Diceros bicornis minor: one gene and its partner. The protein of the gene in region 2 interacts with the protein of the main gene of each other region in a biochemical or structural test. Links are inferred from orthologs where the notes say so. Each region holds a gene or a part of one and is shown on either strand. Other genes may lie near its edges. The genes, in order: PTPN18 and PSTPIP1.

What was found.
Region 1: the proteins of PSTPIP1 (region 2) and PTPN18 form a complex in vitro, tested with the Homo sapiens proteins (2 studies listed by BioGRID and IntAct). The link is inferred for Diceros bicornis minor from reciprocal best matches to the Homo sapiens genes PSTPIP1 and PTPN18.

What each region holds. Positions count from the first base shown.
Region 1 is NC_080749.1:2,119,390-2,128,931, reverse strand, and holds the start of PTPN18 (tyrosine-protein phosphatase non-receptor type 18), read right to left. Parts: upstream 4,219-9,542; 5' UTR 3,717-4,218; coding exon 3,624-3,716; intron 1,623-3,623; coding exon 1,514-1,622; intron 1,254-1,513; coding exon 1,177-1,253; intron 1,098-1,176; coding exon 1,002-1,097; intron 889-1,001; coding exon 850-888; intron 1-849. UniProt on the Homo sapiens protein: Differentially dephosphorylate autophosphorylated tyrosine kinases which are known to be overexpressed in tumor tissues.
Region 2 is NC_080744.1:69,297,089-69,307,044, reverse strand, and holds the start of PSTPIP1 (proline-serine-threonine phosphatase-interacting protein 1), read left to right. Parts: upstream 1-5,783; 5' UTR 5,784-6,180; coding exon 6,181-6,216; intron 6,217-6,691; exon of another isoform or gene 6,692-6,785; coding exon of another isoform or gene 6,786-6,788; intron 6,789-9,956. UniProt on the Homo sapiens protein: Involved in regulation of the actin cytoskeleton. May regulate WAS actin-bundling activity. Bridges the interaction between ABL1 and PTPN18 leading to ABL1 dephosphorylation.

The DNA of each region.
Region 1 (9,542 bases), on a different chromosome or scaffold from region 2:
ATCAGGAAGGAAAAATAGGCATCACTACAGACTGTACAGACTCCATGATCAGCCAGTCACCCCAACAATACTTAGCCCACCCCTAACCCTGTCCATGGGGCAGGCCAGGATGCAGAAACCATGTGGCTGCAGTGTTGACATACATTGATTAACTAATTTATGCTAACAGGCAAAACAAAGATCCCTGCCCTCATGGAACTTATCTTTTAGTCAGGGAGACTGAGAATAAACAATGTACACAATGCATTAGTAGATTATCTTGTATATTAGAAGCTGGTAAGAACTGTGAAGAAAAAAAGAAAGCAGGACAGGGAAGGAGCGTGGCAGTGCTGGGAGTATTAAATGGTGTGAGACCCAGGAAGGTCTCACTGAGGAAGCAGCATTTGAGCAAACACCTGAAGGCAGAAACGGAGCAAGCCAAGGGAAGAGTGCCTGGACCGAGGGAACAGCCACGGGACGGGCCCAGAGGCAGAGCGATCCCTGGCACATCTAAGAAACAGCAAAAGCCAGAGTACTTTGAGTGGAAAGAATAAAGGGGACAGAGGTGGGAAGAGAGAGCACAGCTGTACCAGGGAAGCTGCAGTATAGGGCCTTATGGTCTATGGTGCAGTATGGGGTGGGAAGACTGGCAGGAGAGGGGTTGCCAACACTGGAGGGAGGCACTGCATGGATAAAAGGGAAAAGATCAACAACAAATTAAAGAGAGTAATAGTGGGCTTTCAACAAAGCTACAGTGAGGTCACTCCAAGAACTGGACCCTTGAGTCATGGGATCAGGGAGGAGCTAGCAAGATTTCTCCTGCCACCCGCCTGGACGAGGAAAGGCATTCTAGAGGTAGACAACACCTACCCGCCCATTCTCCGTCTCTCCACACGCCATCAGGATCACCTAGACAAGAGGAGTCAGGGGAGAGGGAGGTGATTTGGATTAGGGGGTGGGGGAAATGGGGTGAAGGGAGGACTCAGAACCCAGGCCCCACCTCACACTCCCCCAAAGCTGACCTTGACTCCAAACTCCCAGACCATGCGCCAGAAGTCTAGCAAGGTGTGAGGCAGGGGGCCCTGCGTGGCGATGTAGGCCTGGCTTCCGTCTGTGCCCTGGTAAAGGCTGAGTTCACTACCGAGGTCCCGCGGTTGCCCCCACCACAGCCGCCCCTTTCCTGACTCCCAGCCTGACCCGGATGAAGTTGCCATTGATGTAGTCGCCGTGTCCCTCCTCCTGGAGCAGAGAGAGGATCACTCTTGTCTGATCATCTGCCAGCGGGAGAGGTGAGAAACGTGTAGTTTGGGGGTGACAGGGGCATCAAGGCCCTGACAGGCTCCTGCATGAAAGCCAGCATGGGGCAGCACACCTCGCAAGGATCCCCCTGGGGGGCACTCCGGGCTGCTCGGGAGAAATGCAGCCGCGGCAAAGCTCTGGGAGAGAGAGCGCTGCAGTATACGGTGACCCTGGACTGCACGGGGTGGGGGGCGAGTGCGGAGCCGCACCAACTCCTCGGAAGCCCCCGACTTACATGGCAGCACGTCTTTGTAGCGGTTCTTTCTCACGTTCCCTGGCCGACTGCCAGCCTCGGTGGAGCACAGGTTGCTACTCTTCCAGGCGGCTGAGCGGGCCCGGATGTCCTGGCGGGAGGCACCGTGAGCGACCGGGAGGAGAGAGGAGCCAGGTCAGAGTCCAGGCTGATTGTAATGATACAATAATAACAGCGGCTCAGAGCGCCTTCTCTGTGCTAAGGGCACTGAATCATCACAAGGTCCCTCTGAAGTGGGTTCTATTACCGACGTCCCCATTGTGCTGGGGGAGAAAGCTGGCGCACCACATGGCTGAGAGACTTGCAGAAAGTCCCACCCAAAGTGGAAGTGGCACAGTGAGGGTTGAACTCAGACCTCTCAGCATCCACTCCGTATTACACTGTATTGTAATACACTAATTGTAATGTATTATGTATTTAATAGAACAAACACGATATGATATATATGACAATATACAATGTGTATGAATTATAATGTATAACATTATTTATGTAACAAGATACTATAGGTACTTTATTATTGTTAGATTATTACAATTAGTGAATAGTACATTACCATCATCATCAGTTATTCATAATCATGGCGACATAAGTAACAGCTACCAAGCCACCAGTGGGTTTGAGCCACCATTCTAAGTGCTTTACTTGTGCCCATCCTGTCATTTAAAAACTCATGGACATCCTAGTGTAGTGGGGACCACTATTGATGTTTCTACTATACAGATGAGGAAACCACCACCCAGAAAGGCCTAAAGACTCCTGTGAGTGCAGGCACTGCCCACCACCTGGCCCTCGGACCAGGGGTCCTCAGCAGGGCTCACTGTCCCAGACTGGGCCAGACCGGATGGGCATGACACTGTATGCCACCTGGGTATTATATGTTTACATTTACTAGATACATTTTCATATTGAACAAATGATATATTTTGCATTTATTATACATTTCTTAGATACAGTATCTTTTTATATTTGTGTAAATTACTTAGATTTATATTATAGTACTTTTATCTATGTGTTACATATTTTATATTTACTTAGGAACTTATTGAATAACTGCTTATTTTATAAATTATAATTTTATATGCTGTATTTATGTTCTGTTGTTTTATGAAGTTAAATGTTTATTGAGTAAATTGTAATTTAAAATCATTAATTTTACATAGTCACTGTATTTTATACTTAAAATTAATAAATTTGTTTCTATTATCTATTTTTATCATACTTAGTGATTATAGTCATTTATTATATAAAGTATTTATATCATATATTTATCAAACATTTTTATATATTTATTATATATCACATCTTTCTAAATTTGATATATGTCACCATATATTGCATTTACATACTTGCATAGCATATGTCTATATTTGTTACATAAGTTACTGTATTTAAAACATCTCATTAGGCGTGGTATGCAGTGCCTATCACGCTGCAATAGCATTCCTTAAGTGTGGCTTGCACTACCTCATTGTAATGTTTAGAATATTTATAACTAATGACAAAGGCTCCTACAAAGTGAGCGCTCAAGATGTGCTAAGCGCTTTTTACCCATCCCAGTTATTTAATCCTTTAAATCTTTAACGTCCCTATTTCACCCAAAGAGAAACAGAGGCCAGAGGGGCTGGGTAATCCGCCCCGGGCCACAAAGCCGACAAGAGGACAGTGTCCACACCCTCGGCGCACAGGGCCTCTTGGTTCTTCTTCCCCCAGCCCCTCCCTTCCCAAGACCACAGAGGTGACCGCCGGGTCGCCTGGAGCGCAGGTGCGCGCCCGCCCTCCCCAGCCGCCCCGCCCAGCCGCGGGATTGTTCCGAGCGCTACGAGGGCACGGGGACCCGAGGGTGTCTGCGGCCCCGCCCAGCCTGGCCGTGGACTTCGCCCTCCGGGGCCCTGCGGGCGGAGAGTGACGACAGGGAGAGAGCGCGACAGAGAGAGGTGCTGGGGAAAGAAAAATAGACCTCGAGGAGAGGAGACGCCGCTAGACGCCAAGAGAGGGGCAAAGCGCAGCAGGGCGCACGGAAGAGACGTCCGGAGAGTCCAGGGCGAGGAGCCAGAGAGCACCGCGCGGCCGTCCACACTCGCCCACTCACGCTGAACTCGCTGGCAAGGATCGCCCCCTCCCGGCCGCCCCGCGCCTCCAGCTGCTCCACGAAACTCCGTGCCGCGTCCAAGCTTCGGCTCATGGCGCCGCTGGCCAGCGAGATCCGCTCCGCCGCTGCGTTCGGTGCTCTCAGCGAGTGTAGACAGTGCTGGAGGCGGACTGCCTCCTTTCTCGCCAGTCAATGGAAGCGCGCAGCGGCCGGCAGGGCGCGCCCCTCGGCCAATGACATTGAGAGGCCACTCCTGCCCCGCCCACAGGCGTCCGGACCCGGGCGGTGCCAGAGCCCTGGGTCCTCTCCGGCTGCGCCGGGGAAGTGAGTCCAGCGCGAGTGCTTCCCTTTTCGTGGCCGCCGCGCCGGCTGGCTGAGTCCGCAGAGTCCCACGACACTCCCTCATGCTTGGGCCCAGGATTCGCGGCCAGGACGACCTCCCTGCGAGTCCGGCGCTGGGTGAACGGTCACGCGCCCTAGCCTGGCTTCCCGGACTGTCTCCTGGGAGCTAGGCTGGCTCGGCGTCCGAGCCAGGGTGGGTCGGCAGCTATGAATGGAGAGGGCCGCCGAGGTCGAGCTGCAGCTTCTGCGTCGGGGCCCCCGGGCGGGTGGAGTCCGCGCTGTGCGCTCCGACGGGGTTCGAGGGAGGTCAGGCGGGGTAGCCGCGGGGAAAAATGACATTGCGGCACCTGTGCTGTGGGAAAGACCGAGTGGAGGCGAATGCTTCCGTATTGATGTATTTCCTGAGGTTCCTTCTTTTTCTGGGTCAGGCTGGGTGGGGGCACCAGGATCCAGTCCTAATTTGAGGAGTTCAACCCGCAAAAACCTGGTGTGAAACTGAGAACTGAGGCCCTGGAAGTGGGTTCCAGGGGACAAGACGTTCTCAACACTTTTTTGTGTGTGTGTGTGAGCAAGATCAGTCCTGAGCTAACATCCATGCCAATCCTCCTCTTTTTGCTGAGGAAGACCAGCTCTGAGCTAACATCTATTGCCAATCTGCCTCCGGTTCCCCCCCGCCCCAAGCCCCAGTAGATAGTTGTATGTCATGGTTGCACGCAGCCTCAGCATGGCCGGAGAGGCGGTGTGTTGGTGCGTGCCCAGGATCCGAAACCCGGCCGCCAGTAGCAGAGCGCGTGCACCCAATCGCTATACCACGGGGCGGCCCCTCTCAACACTTCTAAAGAGCTTCTGTTTTCTTCTCTCCCTGCACCCTCATCTTGAGAAAATGTGCAGGAAAAGGCCAGAGTACAACTGCTGCTCCAGCTTGGGGGGTCACCAAGGGAAGAGAGAGCAGAGAGGAGCCTCAAGGCCCGGCCAAGGACGGGCCTGGCTAGATGGTCTAGCCCACACCTCACCCGGGTCATGGAATGAATTTCGGGGAGGGGTGTCTTTGGATAGGGTGTCTGTGAAGTCTAGTTTGAGGTCACTGAGGTGTCGAAGGGTGACCACCGGGTGAGGTGAACTTACTTTCAGGCACTGAGGAGTCAACAAGGTCATTGGTTCAGGTTGTGGATTGAATTCATTAGGGGGTTATCAGAGCATTGTCAGGGATGGGCAAATTCTTTCTTAAAGGGCGTTGGTCTCTAGTCTCTGTCCCAGCTACTCAACTCTGCTTTGGCAGTGTGAAAGAAGCCACAGGCAATATGTAAAGGAATGAGTGTGGCTATATCCAATAAAACTTTGTTTTTGGACACAAATTTTAATTTCATGTGTCATATATATATATATGTATATATATATGCAGGCTGTGGTTTGCTGACCCCAGTTTAAGTGACTGAGAGGTCACTTAAAGTGGGTCAGTGGGGATGTTTCATTTGTTGAGGGGCTAGTGGGGGTCACCGTGGACTCAGTGTTTATCAGTTTCATCTTTGAGTGTTCAAAGGTGATCAGTAGTGATCACTGAGGATGGACATTGACAGTGAATTCACTGGAGGTAGTGGGAGTCCTTGGATGTTCATGAGGGACCGTCAGTGGATGTTAATGGCAGTCTTTGGGAGGTCAGTGAGAGAGAGTGAAAGTGAGGACTCATTGGGATTTGGAGTACTTTAGTTACTTTACTTACTTAAAGTAACTTCAGTTAGGGTTAGGGTTAGGTTAGGTCAGTTACTTTAAGTAACTGAAGAGTCAAAAGAAGGGAAGGTCATTGAGGGCTCCTACTCAGGGCATGACAGGGAAATGTGGAATCACTGAGATTTTGTGGATAGTCATGGGTTGTTGGAAACTCAGGGTGGTGGGATACAGAAGTATCAGTGATCTCTGAGAAAATATGGAGACTGTTGAGTTCCTGAGTACTTATGGACACTAATGGTAGTCATTCGAGACTAGTGGATACCACAGTAAACAGGGAAGAGTCTCTGAGGCGTCATGAAGGTCTTTGTGGACCCTAGTGGTAGTGGATGTTATTAGAGGTCAAAGTCACTGGAAACTGGTGGTACCTGGGGAGCAGAAACAACATTGAGGGGTCAGTGGGCCATCCAGATCATCTATTGGTGGTGACTAGGGTTTGGCTAGCTGGGGATCTTCTGTCTGACTGATGGGGTGGGTGTATCTATCTATCTGTCCACTTGGCTTGAGGGTCTGTCTATCCAGCTGGCTTGGGAGGCTCTGTCTATCCCGCTGAGGGCCTGACTTTCTCATCGGCTGGGGTCTCTCTTACTGGCAGAAGGTACGTCTGTCAAGCTGAGAGTCTGGCCGGCTAGTTGACTAGGTGGATGGGGTGTCTTTCTGCTTGGGTAACATCTCTTTGTCCAGTTGGGAGGTTCTGTCTGTCCTTGAGGGATTGCGTTTGATTGGCTGCGGTCACCTTCCAATTGGCTGGAGTGGAGAGTGTCCATGTGTCTGGCCACATGTCTTTCTGGATCTGGGGATCTTCCCATCTGTGCAAGAATCTGTCCATTTGTCTGGCTGGATGTCCCACTGGAGTCTGTCTCCCTGGGATTCTGTTCATCTACAAGTCTGTCTGTATGTCTGGGGATCTTTCTGCCTATCTGGCTGAGATCTTATGGCCTATGAACCATGGTGGTTCACCTTCCAGCGAGGTTAGGTGTCCTTCTGGCTGCATGTCCACCCCACCCCACGGCCCCATCTCACTGTTTATCCTGCTTGCCCTCCTGACACTGACCATCCTCCCATGCCTCTCCAAACATCCCGACTCTCCGGGCTTGCCCTTCACTCAGCTCAGGCTGGGTGTGGGCGATGTGCAGACTCTCAAGACCTCCTCCAGCAGCCCTGGCCCACCCCACTTCCCTTCTCCCAGAGGACTGCAAGCTGTTTTCTTACAATGGGACTCGCTACTGCTGGTGGCCCTCTTGTTCACCCTACTGGCGGCAATCCTGTGCAGCAGTAGCAGCTGGCACTGCCCCTGTAGATCCTGAGCACCCTGATGCCCACATGCCACATGCCAGTCTGCTACCTGCTTGCCAGCTCAGAGTGCTTGCTGAACTGGCCACTCAATAGAGCCAAGTGGACAGGGTGCTGGAGGGCGCTGGGGGAAGCTTTTGCAGTGCTATGAGGAACTCAGCCTGTGCTGATGTTGCAAGGGGGAAAATCGTAACTTTACAGTGGAGAAACCTGGCAGATATTACCTCAACCCTGTGTTGGGTCACAACCTCAGAGGCATTGTCCCAAGTGTAATCTGAAACCAGCCCTCCCCACTCCCCCCCCCGCCCCCCCCCAACACACAGAGAGAGCAAGGAGAGACTGAAGAGGCAGACTACTCCAGATTGGTAGGTGGTGGGTTTAATAAACAAGGGAACTTACTTATGAGGCTTGTCTTGGGCTGCTGCAAGATGAGTAGATTTCCACACCTGCCCGCCAGAAGCTTAAAAGCTTTTATAGAGGCCTTACCTGGGGTGCCATGTACACCGTCCAGACGGTCTCAACACCACATTGCTCTCTCAAGGCTCTGTCCTTCTGGGAGCGGAAAGTCAAGTAGAACCCACATTCCAAGGACAGGGGAGGGGGTGAGGAGCCTCTGATTGCCTGGGTCCAGCTCACAGGTCAACCGGTAGTCACATCCTCTCGATGACCTTGCCCAATACCCAGGAGTGGAGATACTCTGAGGCTCCTGACATCCTCGTTGTATAGTTCTTATCTGGCTTCATTTTTTGGCTTAGCAAAAAAGAGCAGAAGAAATTTGAAAAAATCCTCTCACTGCAACACTCTGTTAAGAACCTGTGGGCTGGGGCCGGCCCCGTGGCTTAGCAGTTAACTGCGTGCACTCCGCTGCTGGCGGCCCGGGGTTCAGATCCCGGGCGCGCACCGACGCACCGCTTCTGGGGCCACACTGACGCCGTGTCCCACATACAGCAACTAGGATGTGCAGCTATGACATACAACTACCTACTGGGGCTTAGGGGGAAAAATAAATAAGTAAATAAAATTAAAAAAAAAAAAAAAAAAGAACCTGTGGGCTGAATGGACTGACCTGTTGACCCATCCACAAATCTGGCATTTGGCAAATAGGAAAAATGCCACTCATTGCAGTTACAAGTGGAAGCTGGCGTCCATCAGGGATTGGAGCTAACTGCCTTTGGGAGGGCTTTTGTTACGTTCTCCTCCAACTCTCCTCAGGGTTTCACTGTTTTGAATCAAGGATCCCTCCTGGTCCCTGTCTGGCAAAAGGTCAGCAGCTCAGAGTGGGGGAGCATGCACAAGGAGAAAGCCACGCTCCTCCTTCTCAGTCCTGCTGCCACCACTCCAGCCTATCCCTTTGTGAAGGCTGGGTCTCTGCCCTCAGGAACTGCCCTGGAGGCACGGAGATGGAAAGCCCTTTTTCCCATCTTTAGAAAATGACACCCTTAAAATGTTCATACCAACTTTTCCCCAGGCTGGCCCCACATCTTCCAGAGCAGAGCCTGGGCATCTTCATCACCCAGAGCAAGCTCCAGCTGCCAGAACAAGCCTTGCGAGGAAATAAACTCAGCCCTGGGCTCTCTGAGCTGACAGCTCAGGCTCCTGTGAGCTCCAGGCAAAGAAATGCTCTGACAGTGATGTGGGTAGTAGCATCCTGGGGCCTCTGGTCAGGCTGCCCTGTGTCCTTGGCTTGCAGTTTCTACACCTGATTTTAGCCCAGCACAAGCACACCTCTGTGTGCAGCACTTTATTTGGAAAAGACCAACTGGCCACATTCTTCTTCTTCTCTCTTTTTTTTTTTTTTTGCTGAGGAAGATTCGCAGAGCTAACATCTGTTTCTAATCGTCCTTATTTTGCTGAGGAAGATTAGCCCTGAGCTAACGTCTGGCCACATTCTTTTAAGCTTAGGCTGGCTGGGGTCCTGCACAGCTCAGAGCCCTGCTGTGGGTGCTGAACGCAAACCCACAGCATCACAACAGCCAAAGGGAGGTATGATCTGTCTGCATTGGCTTCTGCCACCCAATTATAAAACCAGAGAGAAGTAAGTACACATACATGTCTGGGTAAGCATTAACATCTCTGAAAGCATTCCTGTAATGAGACTGAGGGCAGGGGCATCTCACTGCTTGCTGCTGCTGCTGGGTGTTGTGAAGTCCTAGTCAATGCACTGTGGCAAGGAAAAAAGAGGAAGGGTCTGTCGAAAACACTGTAACAGGCATATGTCATAATCAGCTAGAAAGTTCTAGAAAATCTTATGGAAAACCATAAGGACTTACAAGAAAATTTAATAAGGTATCTAGTTAAAATATAATACACACACATATCATACATATACACACACAAAAATCACTTTCCTATATACAAGCAATAATAAATTTGAAACTCTAATGCCAAAAAGATTTCATATTAATTTCTTGAAAAATAGGCACCAAGTTTCACACCGCTAGTGAATTAATGGAGCTAAGCAATGATATTAATGTCTGCTAACATCACAAAAATGACACCCAGACATTATGAGCCTCCTGGGGAAAGAACACAGCACTTCATCAAGTATTCTTACCAAAA
Region 2 (9,956 bases):
TTCTAGGAAGGAAAGACCCCACTTAGGATGGGACTCTGACAATTAACTGACCTCTCTGAGCCTCCATTTTCTTATCTGCTGGATTAAGTGAGACCTAAGGCATGTGAAATGTTTAGCACAGGGCCCTGGGCAGTGAGACCCCCGCAGGCTATTACAATTATTCTGGAACTCCCTTCCAGCCTGGCCTCACTGGTAAGTTCCTTCTGGTGAGTTCCTTCTCCTTAATCAGGCTGCAGCTCTCCTTCTGCAGGAGGACTTCCCAGGCCAGCTTCTCAGCAGGGCTTCTCTCTGATTGTGCACACTGCTGCCTGCCACTCAGCACATTTCCCCTCCTGGGCTGCCTCCCCACCAGACTGGCAGGAGCCGTGCCTTGTTCATTTCCAAGTCCCCAGACAGGAAGGCTCAGTAAATGCCCATTGGTGCACTGTGGTGGGGCTCCTTCCATGCCGGGCAGGGCAAGTAGGGTTAAGAGTAGGAGCCCCAACCCAGTGGACATGTGCCTCTAGCTACCTGGAGGGACCGTGCAGACATTTCCCCCAGGAACAGTAGATCACAGTGTTCAGGTCCAGGAACATTCCAGTTCAGCCCTGGACTAGGCGGGCACCTGACAGCCATGGCCAGTAACTTGGCAGTGCCCTTGGCTCTTCCAGGAAGGAAGGATACATGTGTTGCTTGGACTGCCTAGTGAACGGCAGATATCAAGACAGCATGTTAGCACTGAAAGGGACAAAACAAATGTCCCTCGGCCCAGTGGCATTGCCGTTTCCACATGAAATTCATGGTAAGGGCCTTCTGGCTTCCTGATGTCACCAAGGAGCTTTGAGATGCTCCTTCTCTGCAGCCCCTTCCCCTCTCTAGAAGGCTCCAATCTAATGCTTCAGATTCTTCCTGTATGAGATGAGGTTGAAGGGTAGCTGGGACCGGATCATGCAGGGTCTATAGGCTATGTAAGGACAATGACTGTTGTCTTGAGAACAATGGAAAAGCATAGCAAGGTGACAACGGGAAGGTACACGATCAAATTTGGGTCTGAAAATGTCCCCCACTGTGTGAAGAACAGACAGTAGTGAAGTGTTGGCTTCAGGAATGTGAACTAATGCAGTTACACAGGGCTCTGTTGCTCAGAAGGGGTTTGCACTTGGGGCTTAATGCTCTGTGGTTGCCGTCTTGAAAATCTTACTAATGTTATCTTTGAATTTGTGTTTTGTAAGTGAAGTCTGATGCGACAATGAAGCACGCATCAAGGGCTCGGAGCCTCGGCTCATGTGTGATCCTGCCTCCTACTAGCTCCCCACTCCTGCCTAGCAACCACTGCCACCCTCTGCCCCCAGCAGGGACCTGGGTGCAGGTGTGGGGAGGCTCAGGGTTGCCTGGTGGCATCTCAGGATGGAGCACGGTGGTGGCTGTCCCTGCCCTGGGCTGACAGCACCATGCCACATTTGGCAGGTGACTCAAGGGGGTGAGTCTCTTGCCCACTCCTCACCTACATACCTAGTGCATCCTGGCATGAGTTTGTGATACCCTTGGGGATTGCCATCCACCATGGGTAAGGGAGATGCCTGGCTCGACTTTGCTGCCCCCAGCTGGGGAATGCAATCTGGTGGCTGGCGGAAGGACAAACCCAGAAGATGCTAGTCAAGACGTGGAGAGTGCTTGTCCCACAAGTATACCCTGCCCAAAGGAGTGGAAACATTAAATAGCAAATAAAGCACCATGACAGGTCGAGAGAACATGGCAAAGGAAAAAGCTTTCTATTTTAATAGTTTAATGGCAATTTTTTCCCTTACTTTTTTAGTAAGAGGCCCCACATTTTCATTTTGCATTGACCTCACAAATTATACAGCTGGTCCTGGTAGCGAGCAATCGATGAGATCAAGCATGTAAAATACATGCAGGCCCTGCAGGTATTAATACTCCCTTAGTGGTGGCTAGCACTATTGTTTTTGTTGCTTATTTGGCTCAAAAGAATGGATGAAGTGGCTTCAGGAGCTGAGCCCTGCCAGGTGACTGGCTGTGGTGATTGATGTTGTAAAAACTGATTTCACATTTTATTCTCAATCCTTGGACCTACTACTTTTTGAATTCTTCAAGCAGATGTGTTCAAATCCCATGCAAAACAGGATGGGGCTCTGCCTGCACAGGGGGACGCCCCCTTAAAAAAAGAGTGACAGCCTGGCCTGAGGTGCAGCAGCCCAGACCTCAAGGCAAATTGTGTTTTGAAGCAGCTGGAACAGTCGTTAAAAAGCTATGATTTTCAGGACTGGATTTCCCTCCCCGGGGGGCTGGTGAAGGAGGGAGGCTGGAGAACAGTTCCCTTTTCTGGGAGGGACACTCAGATGTCTCCATCCTGCTCCTCCACCTCCCCGATGTCCCACCAACCCATCCCCCCCACCCCAGTTGCCCCATCCAGGCCTCATCCCTCTCTCAGAGTTATTACAACACCCTCTTCCGGTCTCACCTCCTCTGAGCCACTTCGCATCCGGAGAGATCTTTCTAGAACCTGTCTGTGGACCCCTCAGGGCGGAGACTAGGTCTATATCCTCTCTGAGCCCTAGCTCCAGCAGGACCTGGCAGGAGTTAGTGCCCAGCAGTGTTTGTGGACCTGGTTGAGAGAAGGCTGTGGTGGTCACGGTGGTTGGCTCCCAACATCCATAACACCCCAATCAAGGGATCAGGGGAGGCCAATAATGGTGAAGTATGAGTATGTGACTCACTTCTGGCCAACGAGACACAAGGGAAAGTCTCCTGGGAGGCTGGGGTGGGGAGGACTTTGGAGAAAATGAGACACAAGGAGAAGTGTCCCTTCTCTTCCTGTAGATGTAGCTGTGTGTGGAGTTGTAAGCCAGAGCTGCTGCAGCCTGAGGAGGAAGATAGGAGATGGAGGAAAATCACAGAGAAACTGAGCTGGGGACCCAATGTACCCCACCCGGAGGCCACACTGCATCCAGATCCCTTGTGTGGGTGATAACACACTTCCTCCATGCCAGACCCTCTGGTTGTGTGTTCCTTGCAGCCAAAGCATCCTTAGCGGGTGCAAATAACACAGTGAACTTGGAAGACCACGTACCAGGGCTGGACTCTCACCCAAAAGCACCGCCAGCCCCAACAGCCTTCCTGGACTCAGTTTTTCCACTTGTAGATCAGGGTGAGATGTTCTGGAGGCAGAACTGGAGAAAGAAAGGGGGAAACCCACTGTTAAGAGAGGGCTGTCGGTAAAAGATAGCTGTGGAGGTTAACAGCATGCGTGGGCTTTGGCATCAGACAGATCTGGGTCCGAAGCCCAGCCCTCTGCTTACTGGCCGCCAGGCCTTAGGTGAGTCACATAAACTCTTTAATCACTAGTTTGCTCCTCTGTGAAGTGGGAATGATGATAGTGTGTACCCCACAGGATGGGGTGAGGGCTAAGCGTGGTGACCCACGTAGAAAGCTTAATGGTGCTCCCAACACTTGGCAAGTGCTCCCAAGCTGACTGGCGGTTCTGGTGGCACAGGCTTGGGAGCTGCATAAGCTGGGGTGGTGGGGAGGGGAGGAGGCAGATTTCTCTGTGGCGGAGAACTTGAGAGTCTCCTTAGATGCCTCCCATTACTCCTTCCCCAATTGCTCCAGCCCACAACCAGCATGCCATCCGTCTGGGGCTGCCCTGGCTGGACCAGAGCAGTTGGGAAATGAAGGCCTCATATGTGGGGGCCTTGAGGGATGGGAGAATTTACCCAGGTCAGGAAGATCAAGGAAGGCATGCCAGGAGGGAGGCTGGGGGACCAAGGGGCAAAGGTGTGGAGGTAGGGATGGGAAGGGTACCTTTGGGGAGAGGGTAAAGTCCTGTTTGAAGTGGAAATTCAGGGGGATGATGAAAAGAACCCCTGGAGAGGCAGGGGAGGGGGCCTGGCCATGAAATTTTCTGCCAATAAGAGGGTTTGTTGCTGTTAGTACCACTGAGTGAATTTTAACTCCTAGTGACCCTGTGTACAGCAGAGCAGAACCCTGCCTGGTCTTTTTGTGCCTTCCTCTCACCTTCCAGCACTATGTCAGACAATGCTCTGCTGCTATTCATGGGGTTTTCATGGCCAATTTTTTCACAAGTGGGTGGCCAGGTCCTTCTTCCTAGTCTGTCTTAGTCTGGAAGCTCCGCTGAAACCTGTCCACCAGGGGTGACCCTGCTGGTATTTGAAATACTAGTGGCATAGCTTTCAGCATCACAGCAACACGCAGCCGCAACAGTATGACAACCGGCAGACAGGTGGTGTGGTTCCTTGACAGGGAAACAAATCTGGGCCACAGAAGTGAGAGCGACGAATCTTAACCACTAGACCACCAGGGCTGGCTAATAAGAGAGTGGGAGCTTTCTATTAACAGGGGGTTTCTAGTCTGCCTCCAGAACTAGAGGCATCACCCCATTTGATAGGTCACAAAACTGAGGCCAGGGAGGCTGAGTCAGTGCAATCAGAAGTGGTTATGCCATGGGGATGAGGTACAGCCTCAATACTTAGCCTTCTGGGTTTAAGGTGATATTTACACCATTAGCTGTCTTCAGCTGCAAGCAACAGAAAAACCAACTGGAGTGCCTTCAATGCTGAGGGTGTGTATTAACTCAAACCCGAGGATTCTGGAGGTAGGGGGCTCCCAGGGGCAGCCCCACTGGTCTGCAATTCTCCCTGATGTGTTCTGTCTTGGGCAGCTATTTCAGAAGCTTGGGTGTGCCCCATCTGTAACCCTGGGCACACATAACTGGCACTTGGGAGCTTAGCTCTCTTCTGCAGCAGCTCTCATCCGTCTTACCACCCTCCGTCAATGGTAGGGGAGGCAGTGGCAAGGGTGGTGATTTGTGGACAAGCCTGACTCATCCCTTCTTGCCAACCCACCCTGGGGTCAGGCCCCCCTGCCGGCACCTTCTGCTGAGTGGGCAGGCCCTAGCTCCTCAGAGCTGTGTCTGGGGCTCCAGCCCAGGGATCTTCCCAAGGAGATACCAGACAGTGACCCCAGCACCTGCCCAACCAAACAGAAATTCCAGTAATGTTCTCAACACTGTCTCCTTCCCAAAGACTGGGGGCTGGCAGATGGGGAAACTGAGGCTCAGAGAGTTGGAGGGTCGATTAAGGTCCCTCAACCACTGAAGGGTAAGGCCCAGACAAAACAAAAACTGGGGCCTCAGTTTGGGTTTCCAATGCCTTTATAATCCTGTCTCTCTCGGTCCAACCACATTCTTCCAGCCTGAAGACTCCAACTTCAGAGCGTGGCTTCTTGCCCCAGAGTGTCTACTCTGGAGCTGGGGGGAGGGGAGCAGTGCCCATCAGGCCTCATGCTGTTCTCCCTTGGTTAGTTACCGGCTCATCCCACCTCTGTGCTCCCACAGCCCCCAGCCCCCAGCTGTGTCTGCCCCCAGACCGTGAGCTCCTTGAGGGTACGACATGGTTTGGGGCCCTGAGCAGCCAGGGTTTGATGAATGAGAGGGATGTCCTGGGCCTGGGTAAGCCCCTCCCAAATGGGTGGGTGAGGGGTGGAGAGTCTAGCATCTCTGGGCCTGGTCTGGAGTGGGGCTGGGTGGTGGGCAACAGCACCTGGGTTCCTGATTCCCTCCTTGCCCACACCTTCCCTGGGCCTCAGGCTCCATAAGTTGATGGCCTCTGAGAACGGCCAGCTAGGACATGAGAAAGGGGCAAGTGGAGGAGGCAGGCAGCAGGGTGGCAGGTGGCAGGCGGGGCTGCGCCGGGGAGCACAGCAGCTCTACTTCCTGTGGGCGATGGCCCTAGTGCCTGCCCCGGAGGAGGTTGCACAAACCTTCCTGCTCAGGCCTCAGGCTGCCTGCCCACCTGGCCTCTGCACCAGTCTGCCTCTCCCGCTGGCCACTCCTCTCAGTCCTGCAGCCTGGGCTGTGTCCTCATCCCCACGGGGCTGGCCAGGGGCCGGGCCGGACACCGGGACCCGCCCTCCCATCCCTGGGCACCCCGCCTTCCTCATTTTGCTGCTGATTCTAGCCCCAAACAAAATAAGTTGAGTCCTCTTCCTCCCGCAGCAGCGCGTCCCTGGCTTGCAGCTGCCTTCTGAGGCACTGCAGACGGCGCCGGCCAGGGAGGGGGGGCCTGGGCCAGCCCTGCCGGGTCTGGGACGGTGCGCCTGGCTCCTGGCCCTGTTCAGCCCTGCCTGTGGCAGGAGAGTGAGCTTTGCCGTGGCAGACGCCTGAGGATGATGCCCCAGCTTCAGTTCAGAGATGCCTTTTGGGTGAGTGAAGACGGCTGGGGCTTTGAACAAGTGAAATGGGCCCCGGGGGAGGCGGGCAGCTTGGCTGAAATTTCCTGTGGCAGTTCATGGGGATGTGGCTCCAAGAAGGGGGTTTTCTTATAAAAAATAGTGGTTGGTTTTTTGTCTTGGAAGATTTTTGTCTTGGAGGTGACCTGGGCTACTGTCCTTTCTAAGTTGTAAGATAAAGGGGGTCCTAGCCTGGGCCACTGATTTCTCTGCAAACTCACCACGGTGGATGAGGGATCTCCTCTGTGCTCCCAGGGCTGGGTGACCCTCTCTCCACAGCAGGATCTTTTTAGAGGAGTCTAATGTATGGGTGGGAGTTTGAGGCGAAGGAAGGCGGGGGTCGTGGGTTTGGGGACCAGACAAACTTGATCTTGGATCTTGGCTCTGCTATTTAGAGTCTGGACAAGTCATTTTACCTCTCTGAGTTTCATTTTCTCCATCTATATAGTAGAGATAAATATTAATAAACATACCAACTGAATGGAAGGATTAAACAAGGCGATCTAACGTCATCAAGTCCTGGCAACTTGCTGGCATGCCAAATGGTAATTCTCATCCCCTCACCCACCCTTCTTCCTTGAAGACCTGAGAGGTCCTCTGAGGAGGCAGCAGGGCTGGGTGATTCCTTGCTTGCTTTCTTAAATTCAGCACAGGCACAAATCAAGTCCTTTCCCCGTGAAATTATGGCCCCTGGCGGGCTCACAGAGGTGAAATGGCTTGGCGCAGGCCACACGGCCTGCAAGCCCCAGATCCCCTCAGCTTTTTTCCAGCTGTCTCTCAACCTTCCCGCCTGCTCCTCAAGCTCTGGCTTTCCCTAATGGCTCACTGGGAAAGTGGAGACCTCTCTGGTTAGAGTTGAGGAATGTGGCTGTCCGGAGGGTGCCCCTCCTCCAGCCCCGCAGAGGACTCCTTGGCCCTCTGCTCAGCCAGCTCAGCCTCAGCCAACAGCCTGCCCTCCCTGGGCCCTTTCCTGGGGCCTACGGCCAGGAGGATGAGAGCTAATGAGCCTTCCTTCTCTTCCGGTCCACGCTCTGCTTGAAGCCTATGGCCAGTGTGTGAGTGGCCTGCTTCTCGCTGGCACTGATTGCCCAGTGGGCAGTGGGCTGCCTGGGGAGGGCACCCTGTGCCTCTCTGGGCCTCCATTTCCCCATCTCAAAGAGGGGCTGGAACCAGCCTGGAGAATCTGATGGAGGCAGACCTGGCTCGGCCCATCCCAAGTATCAGGCTGGCAGGTGTGGGTGGGTGGCTGCAGTGGGGGAAGACAGGGGGGTGGTGAGTCACCACGTCACACCTCTGACTTTAAGTGTGTAGTTAAAGTAGGGCCTGGAAATCCAGGGTGCTCCGTAGCCCAGGGCAGGCCAGGAGATCCTAAGTGTCTTACCTCCAGGACATCTGGGCCCATCTTCCCCGGGGCAGAGCTGGGGCAAGGAGCAGCCTCATGGCAGGATCTGGGCAGCAGGGGATGGTATATGAGGGAGCAGGGTGTGGCGGCAGCAGCAGCAAGAAAGCAGCCTACCTGTGGTAGCTTCCTGAGTGGCAGCCCGCCCAGGCTTGCCCCACCTCTGAGCCGCTGCGGGCTTCATGGCCTCCGGATGCCTCCTCCCCTCCATTGCTGACTCCTTAGCCCTGGGTTAGGGGTACAGCTTCCCTGGGGAAGGCCAGAGCAGGGAGGGGGAGAGAAGTGGCCAGTGGGAGCCTCTCACACTGAGCCTAGGCAGATGCCCCAGAAGGTCACTGTCAGCATCACTGCTCCCAGGGCTCTGAATTCTAACACTTCCTCCTGAGGCTCAGCCCAGCTCAGTCCATGAGGAAAACTAAGACTACTGAGCACTACAGATGTGCCAGATGCTGTTCTCAGGACCGTGTATCTATCTACTCATTTAAAGTGATGAAGTAGATGCTATCCTTATCCCTGTTACTAAGAGGAGGAAGTTGAGGCACAGAGGGCTTAAGTAACTTGCCCAAGGTCACACAGCTGGGCTTAAACTGACATGTTGACTCCAGTGCTTGGGCTTGCACCTGGGGCACTTCATTATCCCTCAATTAACATAGCAGATCGCTGGGTCTTTGGGCCATATCAGTGAAATGGGGAGAAAAATTCTGTCCTTCCTACCTCCCAGAGAAGTAAGATCAGACGAGGTTGATAGGAGTATTTTGAAGCTCAATTTACAGACATACTGATTTAACTGCAGTCAGGTGTTAGGGACAGAGCCCAACCTCCCCCTCCCCCGTCTGCCCCCTTCCCCAGCCCAAGGCAATGCCATTGGACCCTGCAGCTTGGCTGCACACTGTTTGAAAATGACTAGTCTTTAATAGTGGGAGGAAGCCCCTGAACAAGAAGGATCATGTCTGATGCCGTAGCACTGCAGTTGTCTGGCAACCTCAAATCCAGAACACAGGTGAGAGCCAGCCCTGTTTCTGGCACTAGCTCTCAGTAAGGGGGCAAAGATGGTGGTTTCTGAAAAACTAAGAGCTTGCGCTAAAGCACATACACTTTATTCACGAGATGGCACATAGCTTTTAGTTAGAGCCTAGGAACCCTGATTTTACCTACAATTTTAACGAGCTTGGTCAGGTGCTCTTTTAACCTATAGATGCAGCAATTAGGAGGGGTCTACATGGAACCTGATATACAGCTGGTGATTGATAAATGTTGGTGGACCCGAGCTGTCAGAGACAGTTTCACAGGTAGCTGTAGCCTGATAGCAAGGGAGGAGACAGAAACGTTGTAAAAAGCAGACATAATGGCTCAGAAGTGGTGGGAACACTCGGTGTGGGAGCAGACCAGTCCTGTCCCTCGGTAGGCCTGTATTTGCAGTTTTGTCAGTGTGGCCACCCAGTATTTATTTATAGCCTGCTTTTATCTGTGGCAGAACATTCAGATGCAGGCTGCTGTGGGAGTGAGGTGGGGGTGGGCCAGCCATGGGGAGAGGGAAGGGATAATTTGATTTCTGTTAGACACACACAATGATAAAGAGCATCACAACTTTGCAGGAAGTTTGTGGCTGAGCCTCAGAGCGGGACCTGTCAGAGAGACAAGGCGGAGGCTGAGAACACCAGGTGCCCGAGCTGAGAGGGGCTTAGATCTCAGATAACCTGTCTCCGCACAGAGGCAGAGGGGCACAGGAGCCCAGAGAAGGCAGGGTCCTGCCCCACCCCCCATACACACAGCTCTCTTTGCCAGTGGCTCTGCTCCCAGCAGGCAGCCAAACTGTATTGCAAGAAACATCTGTCTGCATCCTCAGCACAGGGCTGGCAAGGGGGGCACGTGTTCAGTCAATGTCTGTAGAATAAATGAACAAACAGTGAAGGCCTCCCTGGTCCCACTGCCTTCCTGAACCCATTTTCTCCTTCATTTCACTTTAGTTATATTCTACAAATATTTATTGAGCAGGGTTCTCCACTAGGTGGTCTAAGCTGGACCCCTGAGCCTCACCCCCACATCCAACCAGATGAATGAGACTGTCCTGCCCTCAAGGAAGTCACCATCCAGTGCTGGAGGCTGAGATTCCCTAATAACTGGGCCAGGCATGGGGTGCACTGAGAGGAGCAGTGCTCTGAGCTGCACCGCCCCTCCCAGATCTATATATCCAATGGCCTTTGCAAAGAAGTCACTGGATACTGTTTTAAGAGGGAAAAATCTAGTTCTGGACCAGGTTTTACTGAGATCCACATCCTATCCCTTTTGGGGTCATTAAAAGGAAAAGGAAGGG